4 linked regions of the Pelodiscus sinensis genome follow. The protein of the gene in region 3 interacts with the protein of the main gene of each other region in a pairwise test. Links are inferred from orthologs where the notes say so. Each region holds a gene or a part of one and is shown on either strand. Other genes may lie near its edges.

Region 1 (7,754 bases), on a different chromosome or scaffold from region 3:
AAGAACCCTCCCTCGCCTACGTTTAAGTGCATACACTCGGGGCCAACTCTGGTTCATACAGAGGGAGGGCTTACCTCTTTAGATCGCACCTGCTTCTAATCCACTCTGCATATGCATTACAACAGCTGGACTTGAAACTCTCACTTTCCTACACGTAACCCAGACCCTTTAGAACCGTGGCGTCCAACCAGTTCTGAAGCAACAGACATGATAGCAAGCACATTGGACACCACGGCTTTAGACTGTAAGAATGAACATACGGGGTCAGACAAGCCGACATACGGGGTCCACGCAGCCCAGTATCCTGTCTTCCAGTAGCAGCCAGTGTCAGGTGCTTCAGAGGGAATGAACAGAACAGGGCAATTTATCACATGATCCATCCCCTACCATCCAGTCCCAGCTTCCAACTGTCAGAAGTTTAGGACTACCCAAAGCATGGCCCCAACTCTCTTGGCTAATAGCCATTGAGGGACTTATCTTCCACAAGCTGGTCTAATTCTTTTTTTGAACCCCATTATACTTTTGCCATCACAATTTCCCCTAGCAATGAGTTCCACAAGTTGACTTCCACATTTCCTTTTGTTTTAAATATTCAGCCTATAAATTTCATTGATACCTGCTTCATGGGTTACCCCAAGGGTAAGTAACCCTTCCTTATTCACTTTCTCCACCTCAGTCATGATTATAGACCTCTATCAGAGCCATACTTAGAAGTCTCTCTTCTAAACTGTACAGTCCTGGTTGTCTTAATCTGTCCTCACATGAAAGCTGTTCCACCCCTCCACCCGCTTCGACACAATCTCTGGATTGGGTCCTCAGATTCAAGCTTCTGACGTATGGCATGGCAAAGGGATAACACAAAAGTGACTGCAAGGTGTGAATTGAAATTCTCCAATTTACACCTTCTGACCACAGAAGTTATACCAACCACACACACTCCCACACACACACACACACACACACACACACACACCCCTCTGCACCTGTAAACAAATCCACCTTGCTTGCACCATCTGAAGTTGGCCGGTCTCCCAGTGTGCTACAACACAGGAACACCTCTGGCAAAGGGAGAAAATATTTGCAAATGGATGAAGGTTTGAATTGGGTTGTGCCCACGAAAGCTCATGATACCATCTACATGTTTTGTTAGTCTTTAAAGTGCTACTAGACTATTCGTTGTTTAAGGTTTTCTAATTAGGAAAGTGACTTGGAGGAAGGTTACCTGCATCTATCAAGTGGAGAAGCTTTCAACACAACAGTCCGATAGCTATGATTCCACATGCACACCAAGCACTGTCCAAGCATGTAAGACAAATACTGCTTCTATCTGGGTAGATGTCAGCCCTCCTTCTTTCATGACAGGACATTCGCCTCATAGATAGAAATGAATGCATCCTCCCACAAGCAGAACAAAGCAGGGACCTGAGTTATTAGAGTCATGGCCCTTTCCTGCAGCAGGAAGCCTGGGACTGCTGTGTAAGATACCAGGGGCCCTTGAACAGATAGGGAAACAAACTCCCCACGCCCAACACAAGCTGCAAGTCTTCCTCTCCTCCCTGAACTGCCCCAGGGCTAGAAACCAACAATTAGGGAATGGGAGCAGATTCTGGACCAGCTTAAGCAGCCATGCACACACACACACACACACACACACACACACACACACCGCGCATCACAGGGATTGCACCACCTGCCCTAGGGATGTGACCGTTTAACCATGTAAAGTTTACGGTTAACAAATAACCCTGCACATTTTGGTTAACGTTCACGGCTCTGCCCAGGTTCTCGCTCCACTCTGGGGGAGCTGGCTGCCACCTCACACTGGTACCTCTGTATCAGACACAGTAGCTCCGCTCTGGGGGAACCCGCTGTCACCCCACGCCGCTACCTCTGCACTGGGGGAGCCGGCTGTCACCCCACGCTGGTACCTCTGTATCAGACACAGCAGCTCTGCTCCAGGGGAGCCGGCTGTCACCCCGCGCCGCTACCTCTGCACTGGGGGAGCCGGCTGTCACCCCACGCTGGTACCTCTGTATCAGACACAGCAGCTCTGCTCCAGGGGAGCCGGCTGTCACCCCGCGCCGCTACCTCTGCATTGGGGGAGCCGGCTGTCACCCCGCGCCGCTACCTCTGCATTGGGGGAGCCGGCTGTCACCCCGCGCCGCTACCTCTGCATTGGGGGAGCCGGCTGTCACCCCGCGCCGCTACCTCTGCACTGGGGGAGCCGGCTGTCACCCCGCGCCGCTACCTCTGCACTGGGGGAGCCGGCTGTCACCCCGCGCCGCTACCTCTGCACTGGGGGAGCCGGCTGTCACCCCGCGCCGCTACCTCTGCACTGGGGGAGCCGGCTGTCACCCCGCGCCGCTACCTCTGCACTGGGGGAGCCGGCTGTCACCCCGCGCCGCTACCTCTGCACTGGGGGAGCCGGCTGTCACCCCGCGCCGCTACCTCTGCACTGGGGGAGCCGGCTGTCACCCCGCGCCGCTACCTCTGCACTGGGGGAGCCGGCTGTCACCCCGCGCCGCTACCTCTGTATCCGAGACAGCAGCTGGCTCGCCGGGAGCAGGGAGCAGGCTGGCAGGCTGGAGTCAGGGCGCGCTGGGAGCCGGTTTAACCATGGAACCACTGAAATTTTCCAGCAGTTGCAGCCACTTGCCCATATTCCCACGGGCCACAGCGATCCAGCGCTCGCTCACCACTCGCTCCGGAGGGGAACGCGTCCGCAGCCAGCCGGGCTCCGCTCTCCCAAAGCCCAGCCGCGCCCGCAGCGCCACGAAGCGCGGCTCGCAGCCAGCGGGCCCGGGGCCGGCTCCCTGGGCAGGGCCGGCAGAGCGTCAGGCGGGGGCCCCTTTCCCGCACCCCGGCCCCGGGACCTGCCTGCGGACGCCGCCCCGATCCGCCGCCGCGCCCGGCTCCAGGGGCTCCCAGCAGCCGGGGGCGGGGCCCGGAGCGCTACCTGCGGCGCCTGCCGGCCCGGCTGAAACTTTCCCCCCCGGGGGGCGGGGCTTGAGCCTTAAAGGGGCCGCGCCCCACTCACCTGCGCCCGACGGAAAGGGAGCGGGCCGGGGGCAGCGGGTGGAGCGCGCACGGGGTCACTAGCGCCCCCCTCCCGCCCCGGGAATGGACCCCCGCCCTGAGCCAGCCCCTGCCCCAGCCTGAGCCTGCCCTGGGAACCCCCATGCGGGGCCAGCCCCCGCCCTAGTAACCCCAGAGCTATTCCAGCCCCCCAGCCCCCGCCCTAGTAACCCCAGAGCTATTCCAGCCCCCCAGCCCCCGCCCTAGTAACCCCAGAGCTATTCCAGCCCCCCCAACCCCCGCCCTAGTAACCCCAGAGCTATTCCAGCCCCCCAGTCCCCGCCCTAGTAACCCCAGAGCTATTCCAGCCCCCCAGCCCCCGCCCTAGTAACCCCAGAGCTATTCCAGCCCCCCCAACCCCCGCCCTAGTAACCCCAGAGCTATTCCAGCCCCCCAGCCCCCGCCCTAGTAACCCCAGAGCTATTCCAGCCCCCCCAACCCCCGCCCTAGTAACCCCAGAGCTATTCCAGCCCCCCAGTCCCCGCCCTAGTAACCCCAGAGCTATTCCAGCCCCCCAGCCCCCGCCCTAGTAACCCCAGAGCTATTCCAGCCCCCCAACCCCCGCCCTAGTAACCCCAGAGCTATTCCAGCCCCCCAGCCCCCGCCCTAGTAACCCCAGAGCTATTCCAGCCCCCCAGCCCCCGCCCTAGTAACCCCAGAGCTATTCCAGCCCCCCAACCCCCGCCCTAGTAACCCCAGAGCTATTCCAGCCCCCCCAGCCCCCGCCCTAGTAACCCCAGAGCTATTCCAGCCCCCCCAACCCCCGCCCTAGTAACCCCAGAGCTATTCCAGCCCCCCCAACCCCCGCCCTAGTAACCCCAGAGCTATTCCAGCCCCCCAACCCCCGCCCTAGTAACCCCAGAGCTATTCCAGCCCCCCAGCCCCCGCCCTAGTAACCCCAGAGCTATTCCAGCCCCCCAACCCCCGCCCTAGTAACCCCAGAGCTATTCCAGCCCCCCAGCCCCCGCCCTAGTAACCCCAGAGCTATTCCAGCCCCCCAGCCCCCGCCCTAGTAACCCCAGAGCTATTCCAGCCCCCCAGCCCCCGCCCTAGTAACCCCAGAGCTATTCCAGCCCCCCAACCCCCGCCCTAGTAACCCCAGAGCTATTCCAGCCCCCCAGCCCCCGCCCTAGTAACCCCAGAGCTATTCCAGCCCCCCAACCCCCGCCCTAGTAACCCCAGAGCTATTCCAGCCCCCCAACCCCCGCCCTAGTAACCCCAGAGCTATTCCAGCCCCCCAGCCCCCGCCCTAGTAACCCCAGAGCTATTCCAGCCCCCCCAACCCCCGCCCTAGTAACCCCAGAGCTATTCCAGCCCCCCCAACCCCCGCCCTAGTAACCCCAGAGCTATTCCAGCCCCCCCAGCCCCCGCCCTAGTAACCCCAGAGCTATTCCAGCCCCCCAACCCCCGCCCTAGTAACCCCAGAGCTATTCCAGCCCCCCCAGCCCCCGCCCTAGTAACCCCAGAGCTATTCCAGCCCCCCAACCACCGCCCTAGTAACCCCAGAGCTATTCCAGCCCCCCCAACCCCCGCCCTAGTAACCCCAGAGCTATTCCAGCCCCCCCAGCCCCCGCCCTAGTAACCCCAGAGCTGTTCCAGCCCCTGCAGTCCAAGTCACTCCCATGCTGAGCCAACCCTGCCCCGGTTACCGTTACCCTCAGCCAGCCCCTACCCTGCCTCAGCCCCCCCATACACACTTTGGTAAACTCCATCCGGAACCAACCCCCACGATGTTCCAGCCCTAGTAACCCCCATGCGGAGCCAGCACCTGCCTTATTCCATTCTCCCAACCCTGGTATCGCCCCACCCTGAGCCAACGCCTGCCCTGTTCCAACCCCCACCCCAGTAACCCCATTCCACAATGCAAGAACAAGCAGGCAGTCAATGACACTGAAAAGCAGCAAATATAAAACAGATGAAAGGAAATGCATTATTTATGTGATGCATAATCATCTGTGGAACTCACTGCTCCAAGACAGGAAAGAGCTTGACATGAATGTGGACAAGGAGAGTATCCAGTTCGATGAAAGGATTTCATAAATTAAGGGATATGAACTTATTTCTAAAGATATAAGCCAACAATGAACTCAGTTTGCTGGTGAGACACCCGTAGGAAGGCTATTTCTGAATTGTCTACTCTGGGGCTTTTTGCAGATGCTGGGGGTGGCCAGTGTTGGTGCAGGCCACTGGGCAATGTGGACCTGTCTGGCATTGCCCCGGTTGTGTGTGGTGATTGCTGCCATATGAACAAATATTTCTAAGCACATGCCAAGAACCATGCCACTAATTTTTCTTTGTGGCCTGCCCTGAGCCACAGCTGAGCCCCTCTCCTGGGGTGAAAAGCTGCCCCAGTAACACACCGCACAACCTGAAACTCACTCACATTGAGAAAGACTCACATTGAGCCCCTAACAGGATGTCCCCCCATCTTAGCAATAATGAAAAGGGCTGTGCTGTGGGCCCAATCCTGAGCAATACAGAATACCTGCAATTATTACGATTTGGGGGTGTCTGACACTTCTCAGGAGCATGGCTGCTCAGTAAACATTTGCTTAGGTGACACAGCAGAGCTTCCCTCTCACCCCTTTCCCCCGAACACCCATCCTACCAAGCAGCAGCTGCCTGAACAGCCTTGCATGAGGTTGGGTTTGACAGTTGCTCTGTGATGCTGAAGGAGGCTGACAGGCAGGACTTGTCTGGAGCCAGGCACGAAGCAGGCCAGCCAGGTGTCAGCTCTGACACACACACAGCACTGCCAATGCACCTTGCTGCTGATCTCCAACCACACTGCTAATCCAGTATTGGGGCCCGCCCGCCGCTTAATCTTAATCCTGACCTGCAGCATATTCCCACCTCGAGCTACTGTTGGGCAATCCAAGGTAGCACACACAAGCCAATACTGCTAGGAGTGATGCATTTTTTCATGTTGTGAGGGGAGTGAATGCTTCCGTCAGCCTAGTCAGAGAAGATCAAACTCAAAGAAGTGGGGATCTGCATTGTGAATTCTAACCCTGGGAGGGGAGTCCAATACACTCTTCTAGTTCCTATTTAGGAATGTCCTAAATGTAAACATTTTCCTAAATCTAGAAAATGTAGGTATTTCCTTCCTAGGAAGGGACATGCAGTTTACTCAGTAAAGAAGGATCACGTTAGTGCACAGCCAGTGTACAATACAACAAGACACAGTAAGGCTATGTCTACCCTCGCGGCGTCTTTGCGTGAGAAATATGCAAATGAGACTAAGCGTGGAATATCACCGAGCTTCATTTGCATACCTAAGCAGCCGCCATTTTTGCAGAAGAAGCGCTTGTGCCAGAAGGAGCTGTCTACACTGCCCCTTCTTTTGCAACAAAAACCCTCTTGCGCAATGCTGTTACACCAATTACTTTTCAGGAAGAACAGCATTGCGCAAGAGGGTTTCTGTTGCGCACGAAGGGGCAGTGTAGACAGCTACCTCTGGCGCAAGAGCCTCTTCTGCAAAACTGGCGGCTCATTAGGTATGCAAATGAGGCTCGGCGATATTCCACGCTCAGCCTCATTTGCATATTTCTTGTGCAAGAAGCCGCGAGTGTGGACATAGCCTAAGCGACTGAAAAAAGTTTAACCCAGGAGACATTTCTAATATTCAGAACATTACAGCTACGTGGGCCCAACCACTACAGCCTATCAGGTCACACCTTGTAGATAGCTGCCTGCTCGTCTATGTGGGGACTGCCGCCTGAGTCTCCTCCACTGTGAGCCTACAGTTCACACGGGCCTTGTTTCTCTCTGGCCGCCCCCACATCACCCCCGATCATCACAGTTGCAGTCCTGGGCCTACACACCACTCTCCTAGCACACGGTAATTCTGACATGCTGCAGCCCAGATAGTCTACTGTGGATATACAACTGTGCACACATGCACACACAGACCAATGCCCCCTGCAATTCTAATCTTGGGACCTCACATATCTGAATTCTGCTCTGCATTCCCTAGACTAGTCCATGTAAATGGGGGGTGTGAAAGAGGAAGACTAAGGGTACGGCTACACTGTACACTTATTTAGGAATAAGCTATTCCAGAAGAAATACTCTGAAATAGCTTATTGCAAAATAGCGCATTTACACTACAGAGAAGCCTCAAAATTAGTCCGAGGCAGGCTCCCCTAATGTGGATGTGCTATGTCCATTTAGAGCCTTAGCAGGCACTGGAGAGTAATTAGTTTGAATGGCCCTGGGGAGGAGCTATTTCAAAATAGCAGCAGTGGAACGTCCACACTACAGCTATTTCGAAATAGCTATTTTGGAATGAGCGTTATTCCTTGTGGAATGAGGTTTACAGAAGTCGGAATAAGCCGTCTGTTATTTCATATTTATTTTATGGCTGTTATTCCGAAATTATGCTGCTGTGTAGACACACCCTAAAGGACTCAGAGATCATACCGGACAACCAAATATATGAATCCTCGCAAACTGATGCGATGGTAAGAGGGCTAATGCAAGCTTTGAATGGGGGATTATCAAGTACTAACCTGCGCATCCAGAAATATAATTTATGCTATCATGTGCCGAAAGTGTCCGTCAGCTATGTACATTGGACAAATGTCTCAGACACTTCGCCCACAAAAGAGATATTAGACAGGATCACAAAGGAAAAACAGTTTCTTGCCATTGCAACCAGAAAGGACATTGTCTCAACA
Region 2 (7,223 bases), on a different chromosome or scaffold from region 3:
CAGAGCTGGGCGCCCCTCGGCGCTGGGCGATATACCCGGCCGGGCCTCTCCCCAGAGCTGGGCGCCCCTCGGCGCTGGGCGATATACCGGCCCGGCCCCTCCCCAGAGCTGGGCGCCCCTCGGCGCTGGGCGATATACCGGCCCGGCCCCTCCCCAGAGCTGGGCGCCCCTCGGCGCTGGGCGATATACCCGGCCGGGCCTCTCCCCAGAGCTGGGCGCCCCTCGGCGCTGGGCGATATACCCGGCCGGGCCCCTCCCCAGAGCTGGGCGCCCCTCGGCGCAAGGCGATATACCCAGCCGGGTCTCTCCCCAGAGCTGGGCGCCCCTCGGCGCTGGGCGATATACCCGGCCGGGCCCCTCCCCAGAGCTGGGCGCACCGCGGCAGAGCGGGGGACCCAGCCCACCTCAGCTCCTCCCAGTGGTAGGTGGTTTTCCGCAGCCTGTTGAGCACCCTCCTCTGCAGCCTCTGCTCCTCAGCGTCCGTCAAGGGGCCGGGCGGGTCTGACGGGGAGAAACAGGGTTAAGCAATTACTGGGGGGACGACTCCTGGGTTTACTGAGAGGGGAATGGGACTAGTGGTTAGAGCGGGGGGACTGGGCGCCAGAGCTCCTGGGTTCCCTCTCTGGCTCGTGGAGGGGAGTGGGGGCTAGTGGCTGGGGGGGGGGTCAGACTCCTGGGTTATTCGGGAGGGGAGTAGAGGCTACTGGTTAGAGCAGGAGGGGCTGGGATCCCAGACTCCCAGGTTCTTTGGGAGGAGAGTAGAGGCTAGTGGTTACATGGGGGGGGCAAGGAGGAGGAGCCAGGACTCCTGGGTTCTCTGGGGGAGGAGCGGGGGATAGTGGTTAGCGCAGGGGAAGGGGGGAGCAGCAGGACCCAGCGCTGAGTGCACAGGGAGAGCCCCCCACCCCGTCCCCGCAGCTTTCTCTCCTCTTGCCCCGGGTGTGCACTCACCCTCTGTGCGGGGCCGGAGGGTCTCCCGCAGCTGCTGCTCCAGCTGCACCCCCCGTCGCTGCAGCTCGGTGGCCTCCAGGGGGCGCTTCCGGCTCCAGAGGTAGTTGGTCAGGCCCTCCACCTTGTCCTTCAGCCCCTGCATGGTGGACTCTGGTGCGGGGAGAAAGAGACAAAGGACCCAGTGAGGAGAATCGAGCAGTGGTGCTGACATGCAGCCAGCTCTGGGGCAGGGCAGCTGGGTAACAGCCACATATAACGCGTCTGGGGCTGGCTCCCCGTGAGGGGAAATGCAGCCAGCTCTGGCGCAGGGCAGCTACGTAACAGCCACATATAACGCGTCTGGGGCTGGCTCCCCGTGAGGGGAAATGCAGCCAGCTCTGGGGCAGGGCAGCTGCATAACAGCCACATATAACGCATCTGGGGCTGGCTCCCCGTGAGGGGAAATGCAGCCAGCTCTGGGGCAGGGCAACTGGGTAACAGCCACATATAACGCGTCTGGGGCTGGCTCCCCATGAGGGGAAATGCAGCCAGCTCTGGGGCAGGGCAGCTGCATAACAGCCACATATAATGCGTCTGGGGCTGGCTCCCCGTGAGGGGAAATGCAGCCAGCTCTGGGGCAGGGCAGCTGGGTAACAGCCACATATAACGCGTCTGGGGCTGGCTCCCCGTGAGGGGAAATGCAGCCAGCTCTGGGGCAGGGCAACTGGGTAACAGCAGCGCAAGGAGCAGCCCCCCCCCCCCCAGCCCCTTGCCCTGTTTCCGGCAGCACGGAGCCCTCTCGCGCCCCACGGTGACTTACGCTCCACCAGCAGCTGGGCCGCCTTCACCAGCTCGGCCGGAAGCTGCACGGTCTTGAGGTGCAGCACCCCGGGGTGCCGGCGGTGGGGCACTCTGCCCAGAAAGTCGGAGGAGTTGTCCACCTGAGACACCTTTGGGATGACGGTGGCGAAGGCCTAAGTGGGGAGAGCAGCATGAGGAGAGCAGGGCTCCAAGAGCCAGTCCATACGGCCCTATACGGCCTGCCTGGGTGCTCCACGTGGGGCTGGCCGGCCCAGCCAGTTGGCAGTGAGGGGGCAAGGCCATACGGGGGATGCGGCCCTGAGAGGATGCACAGCAGCAGACTCCATGGACAGTCCATACAGGGTTAAATGGCCCAAGTGGCTCCAGGTCAGTTGTAAGGTAGGTACAGGCAGCCTGCCCCCTCCCCGCTGTGGACATCCCTAGTCTGATCTATACAGCGGTCTACGACCGGGGTCCATGTGGGGCTAAATGGCCGGGGGGGGGGGGGGCAGTCTGGTCCGTGCAGGGTTCTATGGGCGGGGTCCATATGGGGCTATATGGCCCGGGGGGGGAGGTCTGGTCCGTGCAGGGTTCTATGGGCGGGGTCCATATGGGGCTATATGGCCCGGGGGGGAGGTCTGGTCCGTGTAGGGTTCTATGGGCGGGGTCCATATGGGGCTATATGGCCCGGGGGGGGGGGGGTCTGGTCCCTGCAGGGTTCTATGGGCGGGGTCCATATGGGGCTATATGGCCCGGGGGGGGTCTGGTCCCTGCAGGGTTCTATGGGCGGGGTCCATATGGGGCTATATGGCCCGGGGGGGTCTGGTCCCTGCAGGGTTCTATGGGCGGGGCCCATATGGGGCTATATGGCCCGGGGGGGTCTGGTCCCTGCAGGGTTCTATGGGCGGGGTCCATATGGGGCTATATGGCCCGGGGGGGTCTGGTCCCTGCAGGGTTCTATGGGCGGGGTCCATATGGGGCTATATGGCCCGGGGGGGGGTCAGAGGAGGGGCGGAGCTATCCCGGGGGAGGGGGGGCTGGTCACGTGCTCTATTCCGCCCGCGCCCTTTATGCAAATCCGCTCATGACTATTCATGAGCCCGGCGGGGGGGGGTCACTCACCCGGAGCGGGGACGCGCCGCCACGAGGCCCCCAAAGCCCCCGCCAGCGCCGCGCCGCCACGGGCGCCGCCATCTTGGAACGCTCGGCCCCGCCCCCAGTACTGGCCAATCGCCAGCGTCTATGCAAATGAGGGGGTTCGAACGCCGTGGCGGGAGCGGCGATTGGGCCAGCGAGCTGCGGCTGGGCGGGGCCTAAAGGTTCTCCGGGGAGGCGGTGGCTCGAGTCTCAGGCACGCGCCGCGCGCACGCGCTCTCTCCCTTGCCTGATTGGCCCGATCTCCCCTCCCGCCGGTGTTCCCTGCCTCATTTGCATACTCGCCCGCCATTGGCCGGCCCGCTGAGGTCGGGCCGCGGGGAGGGGCAAAGCGGCGCTGGCCGCGTCATGTCGCGACACGAGCCCCCCCGCACAGCTGGAGCGGCCCGTGGACCTGCGCAGCGTGCGGGCTGCTCCCCCCGCCCCGCCCCGCCCCGCCGCCTGGGGGTGGTGATTTAATGGGGGGCAGAACTTAGCCTGGAGCCACGAAGCTGACACTGGTTTGGGGCTGGATTTAATGGGGGGGGCTTGTCCCTGCCCGGGATTTGGGGGCTTGTCCCTGCCCCCCCAGCTGTGCCCAGGCGATGCCGGGGGGTGTAGCCTGCACCCCCTGCTGCCCGGGCCCCTCGCTGCACCCCCCCACAGTGAAGGTCCCCCTGGGTCCCCTGTATAAGGGGAGGGGGCCAAGTGGGCACACGCCCCCAGGGAAGCTGAGCTGCTGAGCGAGCCAGGCCCGGGCTGCAGAGCCCAGGGAGCAGCCGGGGGGCCGTGACCCTCGTCGGGCATAGCTCCCCATAGCCCCCGCCGCAGCCCCACAGCAGCCGAGTGCCAGCTGGAGGAATTTCCACTCGCACTGGGTGCCCAATGCGCTTGGCACAGCCCCAGGTGGGTCACGTTGGAGTGGGCCCCCCTGAATTGGGGAGAGGCAGATCTCACAGGCCCCTTTCCCTGGAGCGCTGTGTGGTGGGTCTGGGGGGAATCTTACCCGCCGCACACTCAGACGGGCCTGCCAAGCACCTGACAGCTGCCCCGACTCCCCTTTGAAATTAGGGGGACTTGCGCGTCCAAATCCCCTAGGAGACATTGGGCCGCTCAGCTAGATCTTAGGGGCAGACATGCGCCTAAATCCCCTCGGCAGCATCGAGGCTCTCCCCCCAGGACTGCTTGCAAGCAGGCCGCGTTGCTGGCTCTGAGTGGACAGCGCAGCCAGGGAAGGGTCGTCCGGCTTTCGTTTCCTTCGCTCACAGCTGGCGAGGCCGGTCGGTGCGTGCGGCTCCCAGCTGCCGGCTCCCGCCCTCAGAGCCTTGGGCAGTGCACGCTTTGCAGGGGTACGGCAGCTCCTGTACCTTTAGCACCCCGGAAAAACACCAATCTGTGCGCAGGCTCCGGCCTGCTCTTCACTAGTGATGGTACTTGGCTGCGGACCTGTAATTGCCTCGTGATTTTGCTCAGGACCGAGGTCAGGGTGACCTGCCTCCGATGAACCCGGACGTCCTGTTGGCCCTTTGAAACAACAGCACCCCGCTCCTTCTCTGCAAATCCCGTGCAACGCCCCCCAGCGCCGTGGGATACTGAGTGCCTGGATCCTGGGCCATGCGGGCGCCTGAGCCAGCTCTTAGGAAACTCTTGGCTGCCCGTTCTCTAGAGTGGCAGGTTAAACATTTCCCTCTCCCCGCCCGCTGCAGGGCTTTGCTGAATAGCTGCAAAGGGCAAAGGCTGCTGGGCCGGGTCCCATAGACTCCCTCTGGGGCAGGACTGGAGACGGGCGAAGCGGGGAGCTCCGTTCATTTTTCTGACCCAAGATGGTTGGTTTGGAGATGGGAGTGGAGTAGTGAGGCTGCCAGGGGAGAGCGCCCCCTGCTGTGCCCCCTCCCTGCCCCACAGCGCCCCCTAGGGGCCAGTTCTGCCTGCCAGAGGAGAGCGCCCCCTGCTGCACCCCCTCCCTGCCCCACAGCGCCCCCTAGGGGCCAGTTCTGCCTGCCAGGGGAGAGCGCCCCCTGCTGCGCCCCCTCCCTGCCCCACAGCGCCCCCTAGGGGCCAGTTCTGCCTGCCAGAGGAGAGCGCCCCCTGCTGCGCCCCCTCCCTGCCCCACAGCGCCCCCTAGGGGCCAGTTCTGCCTGCCAGGGGAGAGCGCCCCCTGCTGAGCCCCCTCCCTGCCCCACAGCGCCCCCTAGGGGCCAGTTCTGCCTGCCAGGGGAGAGCACCCCCTGCTGAGCTCCCTCCCTGCCCCACAGCGCCCCCTAGTGCCACCCTGGGGACAGTTCAACCTGCCAGTGCCACCCTGGGGACAGTTCAACCTGCCAGGGCAGAGCGCCCCCTGCTGCGCCCCCTCCCTGCCCCACAGCGCCCCCTAGTGCCACCCTGGGGACAGTTCTACCTGCCAGGGCAGAGCGCCCCCTGCTGTGCCCCCTCCCTGCCCCACAGCGCCCCCTAGTGCCACCCTGGGGCCAGTTCTACCTGCCAGGGCAGAGCGCCCCCTGCTGTGCCCCCTCCCTGCCCCACAGCGCCCCCTAGTGCCACCCTGGGGACAGTTCTACCTGCCAGGGCAGAGCGCCCCCTGCTGTGCCCCCTCCCTGCCCCACAGCGCCCCCTAGGGGCCAGTTCTGCCTGCCAGGGCAGAGCGCCCCCTGCTGCGCCCCCTCCCTGCCCCACAGGACCCCTAGTGCCACCCTGGGGCCAGTTCTACCTGCCAGGGCAGAGCGCCCCCTGCCCGCCCCACAGCCCTGGCGCACACGCAGCCACGTCTGTGCCAGCAAAGGGGTTTTATTGCCGGCCCCGGGGGGCAGGCCCAGCGCAGGGCGGCCCGGGGGGTCACGCCGGCTCGTGGTACCGGACCGGCCACAGGCCGTGCTCGCAGGCCAGCACGACGTAGCGGGCGGCGGCGTGGCTGCGGTAGAGGCAGCGGGCGCCCCGCCGGTGCTGCAGCTCGCAGGTGGTGAGGGCCAGGGGCCGGGCGCTGCGGCGCAGGCCGGGCGAGGGGGCGCCGCCCTCCCGGCACACGGCCCGCAGCTGGGCCCGCGAGGCGTGGACGAAGGTGTGCAGGGCCGGGCAGGGGGGCGCCAGGCCGCGGCGCCGCAGCAGCGCCCCGCAGTAGTCCGGCCCGGCCGCGCTGCGCGGGTTGTCCTGGTGCCGCCGCAGGAACGCCGCGTCGGGGGGCCCGTGGGCCGCCGCCCCCAGGAGCAGGCCGGCCAGCAGCAGCGCCGGGAGGAGCCGGGCGGGGCCCATCGCCACCTGCAACAGCACGCGGGGGGGAGGGGAAACTGAGGCAGGAGCCGCCCCCGGCTGCACAGACTGCTCCAGCACTTGGCAAGTGCTCCCAACGCCCCCCTGCTCTAACCACTAGCCCCCGCTTCCCTCCCAGAGCCGGGGGGAGAACCCGGGCGGTGCCGTCCCGTCCCGTGGGCCCGTCTGTCCGTCCCAGCGGCTCTCTGGGGACCGGGCGAGCCCAGAGCTCTGCCCCCTTGGCCAGGGCCCTCCACTGCCCCCCAGCCGCTGCCTCACCTGCTGGAGCGCGGGGCCGGAGCTGCGCGTCTGACCTCCCGCCCGGCCCGGCCCCTTTTATACCGCCTGGCTGGCCGGGGCGGGCTCCCTGGAGCCGGCTGCGGGCACCCGGAGCTGCTGAGGGGGGGGGCGGGGGAAGCTCGAGGGAGGGTGCAAAGCCCTGGGCACCAGCTACGGAGCCGGGAGCCTCCGAAGCCAGGTGCTGGGGTGGCACCATGGGGGGGGGGGGGGCGAGCTGGGCTCCATGGGCAGGCTACAGACCCCTCGGGGGGGTCACTGGGGCAAAGGAGGCTGGGGCTCGGTTCCTAAGTCCCTTGGGCCCTGTGCCTCAGTTTCCCCACAGGGGGCTAATTCCCCTGCCCTGCTCTGGAAACCCCCCTTTATCTCACGCTGCACATGAACGGGGGGGGGGCGAGTTTCTGTTCTGTAAGGAGCCCCGATCTCGGCCGGGTCTGGGCTCGCCCGGCCCCACGGGACCCTGATCTCAGGCGGGAGCTGTGGGTGATTGGCGCCATTTTCCGGATGGAGAAACTGAGGCCCGGAGGTGTTTGTTTAAGAAAACTGCCCTGAGACTCCCCAGGCGCGGCGGGATGGGCAGACCCCCCCCCCCACGGGCCCCCACCTCTCCTGTAGAGCGGGGGCGGGGGAGGGGTGGGACACCTGCCCCCTCACTCCCCTGGGGAGCAGGGCTGACCCGACCCCCCCCCCTTGCTGCAGGGCGGATGCGTGAGAGCCGGGGCCCATCGCCCCCACCCTGGTGCCCGGGCAGCGCCCCACCCTGGGGGCCCGGCTGGGAGCGGGTGTCTCTGGAGCCAGGATCCGGCTTGGCCGGCGGC
Region 3 (7,135 bases):
CCACCCACTGCCCCAGGGTGTCCCAAGGTTCTTGGCGGGGATCGCTTGGCCGCTGCTGGTCCCACTGCCGCCAGGTGTTCTCCAGAGTTCCCAACTAGGGCCACCCGGCCACCGTCGGCCCTCCTGCCGCTGGGGGTTCCCCAGCCAGGTCCACACCATCGCTGGGGATTCCGGCTGCCCGCTTCTGCCAGCCCCACTTCAGTAGAGGGTTACACCGGGACTCCCCAGCCATGTGGCCTCGTTAACACGGGGGCTTCCCCAGCCTGGGCAGGAGCCTGGCTGGGGCTAAGGGTCCTAAGCCACTGGCTTTCCCTGTTGATGCTGGGGGTTCCAGGCCAGCACAGGGGCTCCCGAAATGCAGCCTGGCCCAACTGGGGCTCCCCAGCCCTATGTTGCTCCAGGGCTGTTTGGTCCAGCAACATCGCTGGCCCTGCCAGACCACGGATGTTGCCGGACCAGAGTCCCAGATTTGGGAGGTTCAACCTGTACCATTATATTACAGTGCAAGATGCAATACAGACCAGTGGTGGGCAACCTATGGCCCATCAGAGTTCAATGTAGGAATGTTAACTATCATTTGTGTAAATGTCTAACCCCTGAAAATTTTAGCAGTTACACATTTACATGCAGGGGGACAGGTGCAAGCACCAGCTCCCAGCTGCCCCCGATAAAGAGCAAGCAGCATCGGGGAGAGGAGCAGGCGGTTACCTAGGAGCCAGTGCTTGTCAGGAGCCAGCTTTTAAGCTGGATCTCTTGAGCTCTGGTCCCCTTTTACTTCCCCCCCAGCGCTGCTGCCTCTGTGGGAAGCAGTGGCGAGCTGACTTGAAAACTGGCTTGCCTTACGTGCCAGCTCCAAGGGGCCATAGCAGGCAGGAGCCAACATGCATGGGGAGCAGGCTTTTAAACTGGCTCTTCGCACATGCTGGATTTCGTGACGCCCTGCCCCGCCACTTTCCAAAGAGTCAACAACATGGGGAGAGAGGAGGTGGACATGCAGAAGCCCCTCTCCCTCTCACTGCTGCCTCTGTGGGAGGCAGCAAAGGGAGGTGGGGGCTTTTGTAGAGCAGGCATGCACAGAGATTCAGCTTAAAAGCCAGCTCCCCGTGTGTATCAGCTCCCATCTGCTCTTCCTCTCCCTCGGGCACTGATGCCTATTATAGGCAGCAGCGCGGGGGGGAAGCCAGTGCTCAGGGGGGAGTCAGCTCCCACCTCCCCCACGCTACTGCCTCTGTGGGAGGCAAATGGCTCTGTGGGAGGCGGCAAGCACAAGGACCCAGCTTAAAAGTTGGCTTCCTATAGACACCGGCTTCCACCTTTGAAATATCAGAAGCGGTAAGGGGGGAGGGAATTTGCATGTAGTTGTTATGATTAATCAATAAGCCTGGGCTTATCGGTTAACTGTGTAACCAACTATACATTAACATCCCAAGTTCAATGTGTGGCTTGCAAGACATTTTGTTCACCACTGCCCAAGTGCAAGGTTGCCAGATTCTGCTGGTCTCCATCTAATTTTTTCCCCCGACTGATATTGCTAAAGTGACGTTCACATAAAGCAAGGGCACGTGAAAAGAGATGAGTACGGACCACACAATTCAGTCAGCACACCTGACAAATGCTAGGTATGCAAAACTAGGTTAGGAAAACTACACTATTCTGGGAGGCCATCTTGGTTATGATAATCTTGCAACCAAGATGAAGGAGGACCACTCATGCGGCCCACTCACTAACGTAGTTAGCCGATTGTGATACAGATCAACCCATGTATTGCAGCAGCCTCCAGAATAGGGATGGGGAACCCCTCCAGCCCCAACCTTTCCTTATCTCCTAGGAGGCAGGATGGCACACCACACGCATGTTCCCCCCTTCCAACCGAGGGGAGGAGGTGTGCAGTCGCCGCAGCCTCCCCAGCACTGTTGGAAAGCGCAACATGCCACGTGGCCTGGCCGAGCCCAGCCTCTCGAGCACTGGAGGAGAGAGGAGGCAGGCCATGCTGCACGGAACAGCCCAGTCTAGCTCAGCCTGTCCAGTCCCAGAACACCAAAGGAGGGAAGAGAGCATGCCATGCAGCCAAGCCTGGCCTCCCCAACCCTGGAGCACTGGGAGTGCTGGTGCAGGGGGAAGCAACACTCCGCCCCCAGAACGCTTACAGCGGAGTGTGGACGGGGCTATGCCTGATGCTTTGGCACAGTCCTCCCCCACCTTACATACCTGATGTCAATGAGCAGCCGCTGACCCACAGAAAAGTCAGCTGGGTGCACATACGTATTTTGTGCCCAGAGATGACACTCCCCACACTGCCCTTGCACACCAGAGCCTGGGGGGCCCAGGCGAGTAGATTTTGAGTGCTCCAAAACCTGGCAATCCCCACCAGGGCTGTTCTGGAGCGCAGCTGCAAGGCCGGCTGCCGGCCACAAGGGCAGACGATGGGTATTTAATGAGGGGGTATTCTGGCCAAGGGCGGCTGGTTAAATGCCTGCGTTAGCCCCCTGCTGTTAACACTCACTGACTGGCTAAAAACCCCTCTTCCTTCACCCAGCAAAACCTGCCGACCTACGACCCAGCCTCGGCCATGCTGCCCCGCTCCCCGCGGCTGCTGCGGTCTCCGCCGAGCACCCGCTCTCCAGACCCTGCCCCCCAGAGCCCGGCACCCCGCCGGCCGGCGCTGCCACTGGCCCTCGGGGAGGGGCAGCGCAAGAGCCGGCCTGGCCCCGCTCACCAGCCGCCGCCCGCAAGGGAGCCGAGGAGACTCAGGGGAGGGGAGCGCAGGCGGCGCTGCACCGGGCCTGGCGAGGACGGAACCACTGAGCGGCCGGGACCCGCGCACGCGGCACGGGGAGGGGGGATGTCCCGGTAGGGCCACGGCTCCGCCCGCCCCCACCCCGCTCGCCACCAGCCCCGCCCCACCTGGCCCCGAGCTCAGCCTCCGGCCGCCACACGCTCCGCCGCGACCGTTACAACTGAGGAGGGGCGGAGCCAGAGGACGCTGCTGGCGGCGATTGGCCCCGCCCCGGCGGAGGCGGAGCTTGCCCCTCCCAGGCCCCGGCACGAGGGAACCGCCCCCAGCGCCCTGGCTCGCGCCTGGCCCGCTGCCCGTTACCGGCCTTAGAGTCCACCCGCCCCCAGGGCGCGCGCGGCCCGGCCCGGCCCGGCGGCAGCGGCGCTGCCAGTGGATGCGCCGGGCGGTCGCGCTGATCGATGCGCGGCGCGTCGCTTCCCTGCCCCTGTCGCCATTTTGGCCGCGGGGGCCGGAGGGAGCGCGGCGGCGGGGAGCGGTGTGCAGCGAGACGCGCCCAGGTACGAGAAGCCCCGGGCAGGCTGGCGCCCTTCCTCCTCGGGGGCGCTGCCGGCTCGTCGCACCCCAGAGCCCAGCGGGGCCTGGGCGGCTTCTGACCCCCCCCCCCCCGGTCCCTGCGATTCCGCCCAGCCTGGCCTGCAGCGCCCCGCTCCGCGGTCACTGCCCCGAGCGCCGGGCTAATCCCGCGTGGGGAGCGCCTCGGAGCCCTCTGCCCCTTTGCTTTATTCAAGTGGCCCCTGTTCATTGGCCGCCCTGGAGATCCCGGTGGCGGTGGGGGACACACGGGCAACTCCGCCCCTCGCGCTTTGGGACTGGCGCTCTCCCGGGAACAAGTCCTGTTAGTCTGTAACTTAAAAAACCAGCGTCTTGAGCCGCCAGCCTAGACAACATCTACAGAGAATCACCAGCTTTCCTGGCCAAAACCCAGGCACTCGAGATCATCTCATCTGAGGAAGTGGGTTTTGCCCAGAAAAGCTCATGATACTGTATGTATTTTTATAACCTTAAAAAACAACACGTACTCTGGTAGCACTTTAAAGACTAACAAAACATGGAGCTGGATGATACCATCTCCATCTTTTGTTAGTCTTTAAAGTGCTACCAAACTATCTGTTGTTTTTTAAGGTTATCCTGTTCGGACTAACTCGGCTACCCCTCTGAAGCTGTATGTATTTTTGTTAGTCTCTAATGGTACGTTTAGACAGTGGCGCTTTTTCGAGATACCGGAAGTATCCCAAAATAGCAATTTCATGTCTTTAAAGGTGCCCATTATTTCAAAATAACGAATGCGCTATTCCAGAATCCCTGTAACCTTTGTGGAACAAGGGTTAAGGGACTACATTTTGAAATAAACTATTTTAAAATAACCTTGAAATAAGATACACAATTTGTGTAGCGCAAATTTCATAGATTATTTTGAGATGAGGGTGCTGTTTAGGTGATTTGTCATAAATGTACTTCCTAAGTTTAGTTGGTCAAGTTCAACTACTAACATGCTGATGAGAAGTGCTGAGGGTCTTCAGTAAACCAGCCTAGTAACATACCAAATAGAGCTTGACTCTGGTGGTCCTCTTGAGAGGAAGGCAGTGGCCTTTGCAGCTTTCTATTCCACAACATGAGGCTCGGGCTAGTTGCCATAACTGCGGAAGGAGCTGATGTGGGCAAGACCTTTGTTCCCTTCAGCCCCCTTCCTTCCAACAGAAATATTCTGCTTCATCACATATTTCAGTTGCACTGTCATTAAAATCAGCATCCCATGTTGTAATAAGCTTGGTAGCAATGTGGTTTCTCTCCCTAAACCAAGAATATAAAAGAAATAACATCAGTGTGAATCTGACTCCATTGCTACAAGTTTTCTGGACTTCTAAAGATGGCATAGAGGAGGGGCAGCAGCAGGGACATACTGAGTGGTCTTTTTAACTTATGTTTATATTTTACATTAAAGACTAGGTTAAAAAAACTAACAGAACGTATATAAAACATTGACACAATGGAAATAGGATAGAAAAACAAAATTCAACAAAATAGATAAATAAGTGACAACATTCTAGGAGTATTGCGGACTAATATGTACTAAATTTCAAAAGTATGTTATAGTTTAATATGTGATCAAATATCCTTATCGTTTTTCCAAGCATTTCTATTAATGGGAAAAAATGATAGATTAATTGAAATGCCTTGATACAATGCAGAAGCTTGGAGAAGGGAAAATAGTGATAGGGATGTAAAATAGTAGTTGATTAGTGGACTACCTGATAAGCCTAGGCTTATCGGGTAGTCGAGTTGACTACTCGCTCCCTTGCTGCCTCTAATATAGAGTCAGTAAACAGGGGAGGGGAAGCAGTGCTGGGGGAAGCCGGCTTAAAAGCTGGTTCCCCCTAGCACAGTCTTCGTGGTGCAGGGGAGACAGAGATGCAGTAGTCAGGGACCTGGTGTGAGCCAGAACTGTTGAGTCCCAGCTCTCGTCGGGTCCACCACTGCAGCTCTGTCTTTTAAATGTAGTAAGAGCTGCCTGGCCCTTGCTACATTTAAAAGGCAGAGCTGTAGCAGGGTAAGATCGAGACCCGGCATGAGCCAGGACTCAGCAGTCCCAGCTTGTGTTGGATATGGGACCTACACCATCTGCGGCTCTGCAGTTTAAATACAGTAGGAGCTGGGCTGCCTGCATGCCTGGCTCCTACGATATTTAAAACTGCAGTTGCAACTGTGCCCCTTATTGACTAATCGTGTACTCGATACAAATTGTATCGAGTACATGATTAGTCAGTTACCTACTACTTAACATCCTTAAGCACTGATTATGGTGTTCCAGAACATATGCATTTTTGACAGGTATAGAGGATGTGTGAAGGGCTGATGTGTGGCTGTTTGGCAACTCACCACATCTGTTGGAAATGCAATGTAGCCTTAAATAAATGTTCTGGAGTCCATAGTACTTGTTCAATATCTTGTTCTGGAATAATCACGAGAATGAAGAACTTGAAGTATCTTTCACATTAAGCCTCATATCCTCCCAGGTTCCTCTTGTGTTAAGCTCTTTTCCTGTTTTTCTTTGAGACTACATTCTCTACAAGTTCCCTGCATTTTGTGTATCGTTTTTATGTACATTCTGTTTTTTGGTATAGCTGTCCTGTGAATTTTCACTACGATTACATACTCAACTGACATATCTCAAAGGGAAAAATGCTTGACACACAAAACTTTGATCTGGAGTGAATCTCTTTCAGAGGATCTTAGCCTTTTGACCTGAAGTTAATCAAAAGGTCTTCCATTATGTCCCCTTAACCTTTGTGGATAAATTGCAAATATAAATTAAGTGAAATATTCAGCTCAGGTACTGATTTATATTTGCCTGTGTTGTATCAAGTGTAGAAATATATTACATTTTTTATGTTAGGGTTAGTGGAAGTTCTTGTGAAAATATCCCTGTGTGTTAAATGTAAAGAATGAGGAAAATGGATATTAAATTGGAAAAAGGATTACTTCTTAATTAAGAGGAACTGCAGTACTCGACATTTTCTTTGCTGCTATTCTGCTTTTCTCTTTCCTTGCTGCTAATTGGATTTAAGGCCGTATTGGTTACTATGGCATCCCGTGAAGAGATTACTCTCTATGAAGATGAAGTAAGGTAAAAAGGAACAATGCCAGAACATTCAATTCAGTATAAACTGGTCTGGAAATGTCTGCAATCTGAAATTTAATGGTCATTTCTGATAAGATCTATAGATGTGCATATTATTTTCTTGACATGAATACATAATACATGCATGCACCATTTACATGCATGTAGACACACATTAGATATTACCTAAGCCACTTGTTTTCAACACTTTTTCAGATGCAGACCCCTAAAAATGTCAAATGGAAGCACAGAACCATTTGGAAATCTTAGACATAGTCTGCAGCCCTCTAGGGGTTTGCAGACAAAAGTTAGAAAATCATTGAACTAACTGCAGTTTCTTTAATTTACTCAATTATATGATATTTATTTAACTGTTAAGATTGAATTTAATAGACTAGAAAAGATTTACAGTATAATCATATATATAGTAGCCCATTGTCTGTGAGTCTGTAACGCAAAATGCTGGGTGTTCCCTCTGGGGGGGCGCTGTTGCCTGAAATGCTGGCTGTTCCCTCTGGGCGGCACTGTTACTGAAATACTGGCTGTTCCCTCTGAGCGGCCCATGCTGCATGGGGAGTGCGGGGCCCAAACAGCTGCTTGCGCCGCTTGCTCCCCCGTGGCGGCCTGGCTGAGCAGAGCAGAAGTCACCCGAGTGCCATGGTGGGAGGCGAAGGGGGGGCAGGGTGGTGACGTGTGGCATGACAGCGGCTCCAAGCCCT
Region 4 (7,998 bases), on a different chromosome or scaffold from region 3:
TATTTGTACTGACTACACGATCAGTCGATGAGGGAAGGTGCTCTATCCCAGCTCATGCCGGGCAGCTCTTACTACATTTAAAATCCTGGACTGGCGCAAGTTGGGACTGAGCCAGATTTGCTCAGTCCCAGCTTGTGCTGGGTTCAACAGCCCATGCCTTGGCCAGCCTGGGCCACCATGAACAGAAGCTGCTCTAGCAACAGGTCTTGTTCATGGCAGCCCAGGCTGGCCGTGGGCAGAGGCTGCTTCATGGCAGCAGCCCCTCCTGACCTACCCCTCATTGCTGCCTCTTATAGTGGCAGCAGCAGGTGGGGGGGAGGCGGCACCACAGAGATGGTGCTTGGGGGGAAAATGGCTTTTAAGCCATCTCCCCCCCAGCACCAGCTCCTGTTCCCCCATGCCCTTTGCTGCCTCTGCTACAGGCACTTACATCTCTACCATCCATCCTCCCTTCTTCTGAACCCTTCCCTCCCACTCCCCCCGGGGCCACACTGCATCTGGGCCCCCCTAAACCCAACTGCCCCATCTCCAGAGCCTTGCTGCTCCCTTAGAGCCATCAATTGCCCTCTGAGGCCTGCCCAGACCAGGACAGCCCATGGGACAGTCCCCTCCTCCCAGGTCCTGGTACTGAGCCCTGGAACCTCCACTCCTCACGGCAGTGGAACCAGTCCCCTGTGGGGCAGCAGGGGATACAGCTAACACATGGGCAAGGCCATGAGCTCACCAGCCACCTCGATACGGATCTTCATGTTGTTCTGCAGGACACCCAGGGGGTCGAGGTACTCGGCAGCCCGCCCCGATGCCACGTCCTCCAACTTGGCCTTCACCTGGTTCAGCCGCTCCTTGAACAGCCTGCAGGGTGCACCAGCAGGTACTGAGCAGAGTCCTGTCCACCCCAGGGATTCCCTCACACCACCCAGCATGGTCCAGTTCTGCCCACCACACCCAGCATAGGCCTGCTCAGCCCTTGCCAACCCACAGCATTAGCTAGCACTGAGATGCGGCCATTTCTTGGGTGGGGTGCAGCAGGGACAGTTTATACCAGGATCTCTTGCCTGGCACTGAGATACAGGCACCTAAAAGATGGGGAATCCAAGAGGGGACTCACTTTTCTTTGAGCTCAGAGAACTGCTTCTCCAGGTCACACATCTCATCTAGGCACTCGCTGCGGCGCCGCTCACAGTCCTCCTCATCCATTTCTGCAGGGCACAGCACATGTATCTTACAGGCCACACACAGACCAGGGCAACAGAGGCATACAGAGCCAGGACACTCACCCAGGTCACACACACACAGCTAGGAGTAAATAGAAGAATAGGACCCAGGAGTCCTGATTCACAGCCCCATCCCCCAATACCCCCCACTCTTCCCAGAGCTGGGAACATAACTTAGGAGTCCAGAGAGAGGACACTGGGGTCATGGCTTTTACCCTGGAAGCAGAGCCACATCCCAGAACCGCCTTGTGATAAAAGGCCAAGCCCCTCCCTGTATCCCCTTCCATACTCAAATACCTGAGCTTTCTTCCTCTGATTCAGAAGGGCTGGCACTACGTTCTTCCTCGCTCTCCTCCTCTTCACCATTCAGCTCAGGTGCCGAGTCCCCATCCCCCTCCATCTCTTCGGCCTCCTTGGGCACCGGATGCACCGGCATGGGCACTCTAGGTGATCAATGGCAGGTGATCCAGGAGGGTCTTGTTTCACTGCATCTCCCACCCTCCTCCATCACACCTGGCCAGGGACAGCTACCCACAAAACCATGGGACACCCCATGTGCCCAGACTGTGAATATGGGTAGCTCCACCACACCAACAGCAACCCTTGACAATTTGCATCCCCCTGCCCCAGGGCAACCTCAGCTAGTAGGCCCCAATCGCCACAGCCCATTGAGCTCCCAAGGCTTCCCACTGGCCAAGGAAGTAGCAACCTTCTCCATTGGGAGCAACGCCAAAACCCACAACTTGATTCACATGGAGCTAGATCAGAGCCAGCACCTTGCAGAGGTGTTTTATTTCCCCATCCCACACCCAGCCAGCCAGTCATCCTGCCATGGGGCTGGCACAGGGACAGCGCCTCCTTGTTCTCACTGCACTGTCATGTGCAGCCACCTTGTAGGGGAAACCCCGCAAAGCTGCCGAGATGCTGTCAGGGAGCCAGGTGCTGGCAGCTGCTATTGCTACGGCATTGTGACATGTGCTGCGACTCTGCAGCGATGTGTGCTGACCCCAGCGGAGCTGGGACCCCAGAGATCTGCTGCCATGAGCCTAAGTTGCGGATGGGAGCTGCTCCCTCCTTGCCAACAATGCAGGGACCTGGCTTCCAATAGGCCCAAGACCCCATGGGGCACCCAAGCCCCATAGACAGCTAGGGCTAAGGGTGGGAAAACAGGCAGAGCCAGTAACAGAACCCAGGAGTCCTGGCTCCCAGCCCCCTGCTCGCTCTGTAACCATGGCCTGGCCCATATCCCATAATGGGCTCACTACTGCATACGCAATGCTGGGAGAACCCCCCTCCATGAGAATGGTATTTCCCATTTTCTGCTCACTTCCGAGGAACATACCAATGCTATAACTGCCCCCTCCAATTGACACCGTTTGCTCTAGTCTATGCCTGTGTTGGGGAAGATACCACTGAGCCCACATACACACACACCAGAAGGCCACAATTCGCCCTCCCCTCGAGATTTCTTCGCATCTCCCAGTTTCATTGAATTTGTTTTGGAAGGTGTCATTCATGTCCCCATGATGGGGGAGGGGGGTGAAGTAGGATACAGTGCACCCCCTTCCCAAGCTACAATGGTCTGCGCTGCCAGTACGTTTCACGAGGAATGGATCTTTGAATACCCACAACATAGGGGCCGCAACCTTCCCCTGAGTTGCAATAATCTGCGCCGGCCGTCGCTGTAAGTTTCCCCCTTGCGGTTGTAATGGGCCAGCCTGCCCTCCCTTGAGTTCAACGGGGATGGAACCAACAAGTTCCACAAGCAGGGGAGGAAGCGAATTTCTCCCTTGGGTTGCGCAAGCTCTATCCTGGCTTCTATTGATCTCAGCGGGGAACGCACCACCCAGCACCCCATGAGGGGGAAGCTGGGACGAATCCATCTCCCGCTGCTCTGAGCCCCACGTACCTCGGGAGTCCAGGCCGGCGGCCTCCCTCCCGTAGCTGCTTCGCTTCTCCGTACCCGGAAGTCCCGTAGCTACTGGCCCCACCTTATTTTCTTGCAGCCAATCAGGGACACCAATTAATCAGCGCGCCGTTGACTCTATGGTTCCCAGCTGCCCACTACTCCGGGCCTTATGGGATAGTGGAGGATGAGACGTGTTCCCATGGCAACAGACCCACAGCCTAGCCTGAGATGACCACATCCATCGAAAGTTGGCTAAAGGGCGGGCACCCCCCGAATTGGTGTTGCCGCAGCACCTGCTTGTGACACATCACCATGGTACCTAGTCGAGTTGATGCCATGGTGCTTGGTCATGACATCTCCAGAGGACCCAGTCAGTGTTGTAGTGGCTCCTGGGCAGAGTCATCACAGCCTGGTGCAGTGTCACTGAAGCATTGCCACAGCTCCAGTCCCAGAATTGCTATAACACTTGGCACCCAGTCCCAGTCCCGCCTCAGTACAATGCCTTTGGCCTCCTTGCCATGGTGCACAAGCACAGTGTTGTCATGGGACTGCCCCCAACAGCCAAGTACCTGGAGAGAAGCCAAGGGTGTGTGGCTCTCAATTCCCTTCTCCTGATCATGAGCAGGATGGATTCATTGGCAGGAGAGCCTCTGCTTTGGCACATGAAGGAGTCAGCCCCACCCATAGTGCCACACAGTGAGCCAAGCCCTGTGCGGGACAGATACATTCCACCATTGCCTCCGGCGCTACAGAAAGGACCCACAGCAGGACACAGCCATGAGGAGAAGCTCCTGGCCTCCACAGTACTTTATTGTTCCAACCTAAAGTTTGCACGCAGGGCGACGGAATGCCAGGCCATTCCCTACAGTGCCAGAGGACAAGAGCACTCTGCCAGTCCCAACCAAACAGCATTGAGCATCTTCATAAATTAAGCCTCATGCCCCCTGCCCTCAGGAGGTAGGTCAGTGCATTTATTCCCATTTTACAAAGGGGAAAAATGAGGTGCACAAAGTGGAAGGGTCTTGGGGCAAATAGAATAAGTGACAAAGCTGGGAACAGAATTCAGAAGTCCTGAATTTCAACACGTCATTCTTTAACAACTAACCTCTACTCTCTTTTCAGCACTAGGGAAAGATCCCAGAAGTCCTGACTCTCCCTCCTCTAATTGCTATATTAGGTTCTCAACCCATAGCCACTTACAGAAAGGGAGAGGGAGCTGTTGAATCCAGAACAGCCCCCTTCTCTGCTCAGAGAGGGAAAGAATCATAACAAGAGAACTGTGGATGGAGGAAACAGCTGATTTCTACCCACACAGGCAGAAGACCAGGTGTGGTAGTCCTCTGTTCTGAGATAGTCTGATATTGAATGGAAAACTGTGGGAGGAGAATGCTGAAGTGAATTGGAAGAAAGGGATAAAGGGATACACAATCCCAGCAATAGGCTGGGAGTGGTGAAGGAGCCAGAGTGATGTGACTGGAAAGATTCCCCCCTAACTATAAACCTTTGTCTGATGTGAGCGTTAATGACTCAATGAAAAAGAGAGGGCACGGCCCCCCCAAAAAACACTGACACCAAAGCTACAGTTGAAGAGTCATAGGGAAGGCAGAACTGAGGAGCTGTGCCCAAGACAGCAGGCCCATCAGCATCGGCGCAGTGAGCCAGGATACTTCAGCTTCAGTTCCTGCTTGAACTGGCGAAAGAGCACCTTGTTGCGCTGATTCTCAGCATCCTTCTGTGCATGGAACTCACTTGGCACCTTGAAGCCCTTGTGCACCAGGAAAGCATTGTTCAGCACTGAGAAACTGTACCCAGCCACATGGAGCTCACATGCCTACAAAAGGGGACAGGAGAGCTGTGAAGGAGAAACCAGAGTAACCCCCACCCTCATTGGACTCTGAAGTGTCCCACACTTTGTTACATCAAGTGCAGAAAAGCAGCTACCTCTAAAGTGGAGTGTGCAGGCTGTTTATAGAGGGATCCTTCCCCTGGTTCTGAGATGCAGCTGCTTCTGGGGTGGGGCATTGGAGCTGTTTTATACAGGGATCCCTCACCCAGTGCTCAGATGCAGTATGGGATGTGGAAGCTATTTCACAGCTTCACAGAACACTACAATTCAGGACAAAAAGTGGAAATTCACTGGATTGAAGCTGTAGAAAAAGGGACAAATGGTCTTTAGTGAACACAAGGGGCCAAGGCGCATTTTACATCTAATTGGACGGATGCCACTAACAGGTATACTTACAGCACCTCCTGGTGCAGCCTTGGGCATTGAGGATAGCATTGAATGCAAGGTGAAAGCACCTCTTACTGAACCCTCCACCCTGCAGCACAATGTCCCTACATTGTGCTGCTTCTCTTCTCCAGCCAGCAAATACTCTTGGACTACGATTGGATCAGGGCCAAAACCCCCTTGCAAGGAAGGAAATAATCACTCCTCTTGCCCTTGTGTCTCTATGAGGCTCAGTAAGCATGGCCTGAGGCTGTCCAGTGATCAGGAGATCACCTGGATGAGACTTCCCTGATTTGTTTCACCCATGGGTCAGGACACCCTGCTCCATCGCTTGGGGAGGCTGGGTGTATTTCTGGGGTGTCTCCCATGGCACTAATGCCCCCCCATTCCCAGTTAGGCAGGTACCTGGCTGATGCGGTTGAACCCATACTGCTTGAATCTTTCATCGTAGGGTGGCACAGAGTTGGCACTGATGTAGAAGGGCTCCCAGGGGTCCCTCCACTCCACGGCGTAGGCGGTGTTCAGGGGACTGCCCAAGGGCAAGTTCAGCCAGCGTGAGTAGTTGGTAGGGGCCTGGCAGCGCGGGCAGAGCTCCTCGTAGAACGGCCGGATCTCCCCCACCTGATACAGCTGCAGTAGCTCGGTCTTGGCACCTGGGAGGCGCCGGGTATGCCGAATCTCAAAGGCGGGCACCACAAAGACACCCGGTGGCCCCTCAGCACCCAAGGTTGCTGCCAGAGCCAGAAAGGCCTCACGCAGCCCCTCACTGGGCAGCATGTCCACGTCCAGCACGAGGGTGTAGTGCCCAGTGGCTGCTCCCCTTGCCACGTTGCGCAGCAAGTTGTTGGGGTAGGAGGCGTTGGCACCCAGGGCATAGTTACGCCTGCCCACCCCGGCCCGTGCCAGCTTGGCGAAGACATCCCCACAGGCCTTCAAGCGGGCAAACTCCGCCCGGTCCTCCAGCTCTGGGAAGGCGGCCAGGTCCCCCGAGTGACACACCAGGTGGGCCCTCACCAGCTGGCGCACTGGCCCGCACAGTGTCCCCAGGGCGTAGAGCATCAGCGTAGCCAGCCGCACCTCGGCGGGGCCCGGTGCAAAGAGCGCCACGGAGACCGGGCCCTGCCAGCGCCCCACCAGCTCCTGCAGCTGGTACAGGTTGCTCAGGCTGGTGTGTGTGGCGAGCACCAAGTCGGGCGCCCGCTTCGCCCGCTCCGGGGGCCCCAGCATGTCCGTGTAGATCCGGTACTGCCCGCTGGCATCCAGCCGCCCGCCGCTGGCCAGGGCGCGCTTGAGCTGCTCCTTCTGCTGCTCGCTGGGCCGGCCGGGAGCCTCGCCCCGGCGCCCCCCGAACAGCTCCGAGTAGCGGGAGCGCTGCTGGCGCCCGTGCAGCCCCGAGAGCAGGGACAGGTAGAGCAGCTGCAGCAGGGCCACCAGTGCCAGCGCCCACAGCAGCACCTTGAAGAAGGAGCATCTGGCGGGGCTCTGCATGCCGGCCGCGGCCGGGGCACCGCGCTCAGGCCCGGCTCGCTGCGCCCATGCTCGCCATGGGGGACCGGCGCAGGCAGCGGGCGGCTCCAGCTCCTTGTCCTTGTATGCAGCCGGCCGGGAGGCCGGGAATGGAGGCACCCGTCGCTGCGGCAGCGCGCCACCTGCCCTAGGGAGGAGCCACTGCAGGCCGGCTCGTCAGCGCGCCCCGCCCGCCGGGGACGGGGGTGCAGGGGAGTGACCTGGTGGGGGGGGGGAGATTCTTGTGACCATTGCACCGGGCTGGTTCACGCCCCCATGGCTGCACCCAGTGCCCAGCTCGGAGAGCGCAAGAGAGAGAGGGACGTGGTGTTCAGGCAGGGGCGTGAGTGCAAAGGACAGTGCAGGGGGAATCACACCCCCTATACACAAGCAGACCCACCTCTCCTTGTGCACCCTTGCCCGCTCCACACATTCAGGGGTATGAGGAAATGACAGGAGCATTCCCACACAGAAGACGAGGTGGCCGAGTGGTTAAGGCGATGGACTGCTAATCCATTGTGCTCTGCACGCGTGGGTTCGAATCCCACCCTCGTCGGGTTCTTTTTGGGATCATAAGAGAGATATCCGGGCACTGTTTTCTGAACACTATTTCCTGTGCAAAAAAGAGACATGGATGCATGGGGGTGTTTATGGATTTCGCAACTGCACCTGCTTTTCAACTTGGCTCCATTCATGCACTGTAGTCTCCTCTCAGCTCCCATACTCCCCCTGAGGATAATGCTGGTAGAGGGGTGTGTGTTTGCAGAATCAGGGTGGATTTCAGGTGGGTGAAATAACATATTGGAACTCTTATAGCCCAGGGGCTGTCAATGGGGTGGCAGGCTGGGAACTGTATTAGACTTACCAATAAACTACCTTAGCAATATGAAAGCAAGGTAGCTTTTTGTAGCGGCAGGTAGGGCCAACCACTCCCACTTAGATGGGTGCAGACAGCAGGTGATTTGTCACTCTCTGGAGGGCCCAGTGGGAGACCCTTGAATGCGATAGGTGTGCTTTCTCATGGGGGGGATGGCAGAGAAGGAGGTAGCAATCTCCCCTCCCTAGGCAAGACTTGTTTCCCAGGGGAGGCTGCATGGCTGAAAGGCACAGCTTTTGGGGAAGGCTGCCCCCAGAAGCCA

What was found.
Region 1: the proteins of CEP70 (region 3) and SYTL4 interact in binary tests that used the Homo sapiens proteins (3 or more experiments, as listed by UniProt). The two-hybrid records come from large-scale screens. The link is inferred for Pelodiscus sinensis from reciprocal best matches to the Homo sapiens genes CEP70 and SYTL4.
Region 2: the proteins of CEP70 (region 3) and METTL17 interact in binary tests that used the Homo sapiens proteins (3 or more experiments, as listed by UniProt). The link is inferred for Pelodiscus sinensis from reciprocal best matches to the Homo sapiens genes CEP70 and METTL17.
Region 4: the proteins of CEP70 (region 3) and BRMS1 interact in binary tests that used the Homo sapiens proteins (3 or more experiments, as listed by UniProt). The two-hybrid records come from large-scale screens. The link is inferred for Pelodiscus sinensis from reciprocal best matches to the Homo sapiens genes CEP70 and BRMS1.

Annotation. Positions count from the first base shown.
Region 1 is NC_134723.1:4,978,557-4,986,310, reverse strand, and holds the start of SYTL4 (synaptotagmin-like protein 4), read right to left. Parts: upstream 3,014-7,754; 5' UTR 2,878-3,013; intron 2,870-2,877; exon of another isoform or gene 2,697-2,869; intron 2,660-2,696; exon of another isoform or gene 2,529-2,659; intron 1-2,528. UniProt on the Homo sapiens protein: Modulates exocytosis of dense-core granules and secretion of hormones in the pancreas and the pituitary. Interacts with vesicles containing negatively charged phospholipids in a Ca(2+)-independent manner.
Region 2 is NC_134740.1:14,323,207-14,330,429, forward strand, and holds the start of METTL17 (ribosome assembly protein METTL17, mitochondrial), read right to left. Parts: upstream 3,012-7,223; 5' UTR 2,926-3,011; coding exon 2,854-2,925; intron 1,905-2,853; coding exon 1,751-1,904; intron 1,102-1,750; coding exon 952-1,101; intron 502-951; coding exon 405-501; intron 1-404. UniProt on the Homo sapiens protein: Mitochondrial ribosome (mitoribosome) assembly factor. Binds at the interface of the head and body domains of the mitochondrial small ribosomal subunit (mt-SSU), occluding the mRNA channel and preventing compaction of the head domain towards the body.
Region 3 is NC_134717.1:12,118,381-12,125,515, reverse strand, and holds the start of CEP70 (centrosomal protein of 70 kDa), read right to left. Parts: upstream 3,008-7,135; 5' UTR 2,905-3,007; intron 2,871-2,904; exon of another isoform or gene 2,717-2,870; intron 2,688-2,716; exon of another isoform or gene 2,209-2,687; intron 1-2,208.
Region 4 is NC_134721.1:32,358,137-32,366,134, reverse strand, and holds the start of BRMS1 (breast cancer metastasis-suppressor 1), read right to left. Parts: upstream 3,016-7,998; 5' UTR 2,849-3,015; coding exon 2,844-2,848; intron 2,579-2,843; exon of another isoform or gene 2,557-2,578; intron 1,658-2,556; coding exon 1,512-1,657; intron 1,200-1,511; coding exon 1,109-1,199; intron 853-1,108; coding exon 725-852; intron 1-724. Other genes in the region: B4GAT1 (beta-1,4-glucuronyltransferase 1), read right to left, coding at 4,763-4,954, 5,759-6,841. UniProt on the Homo sapiens protein: Transcriptional repressor. Down-regulates transcription activation by NF-kappa-B by promoting the deacetylation of RELA at 'Lys-310'. Promotes HDAC1 binding to promoter regions.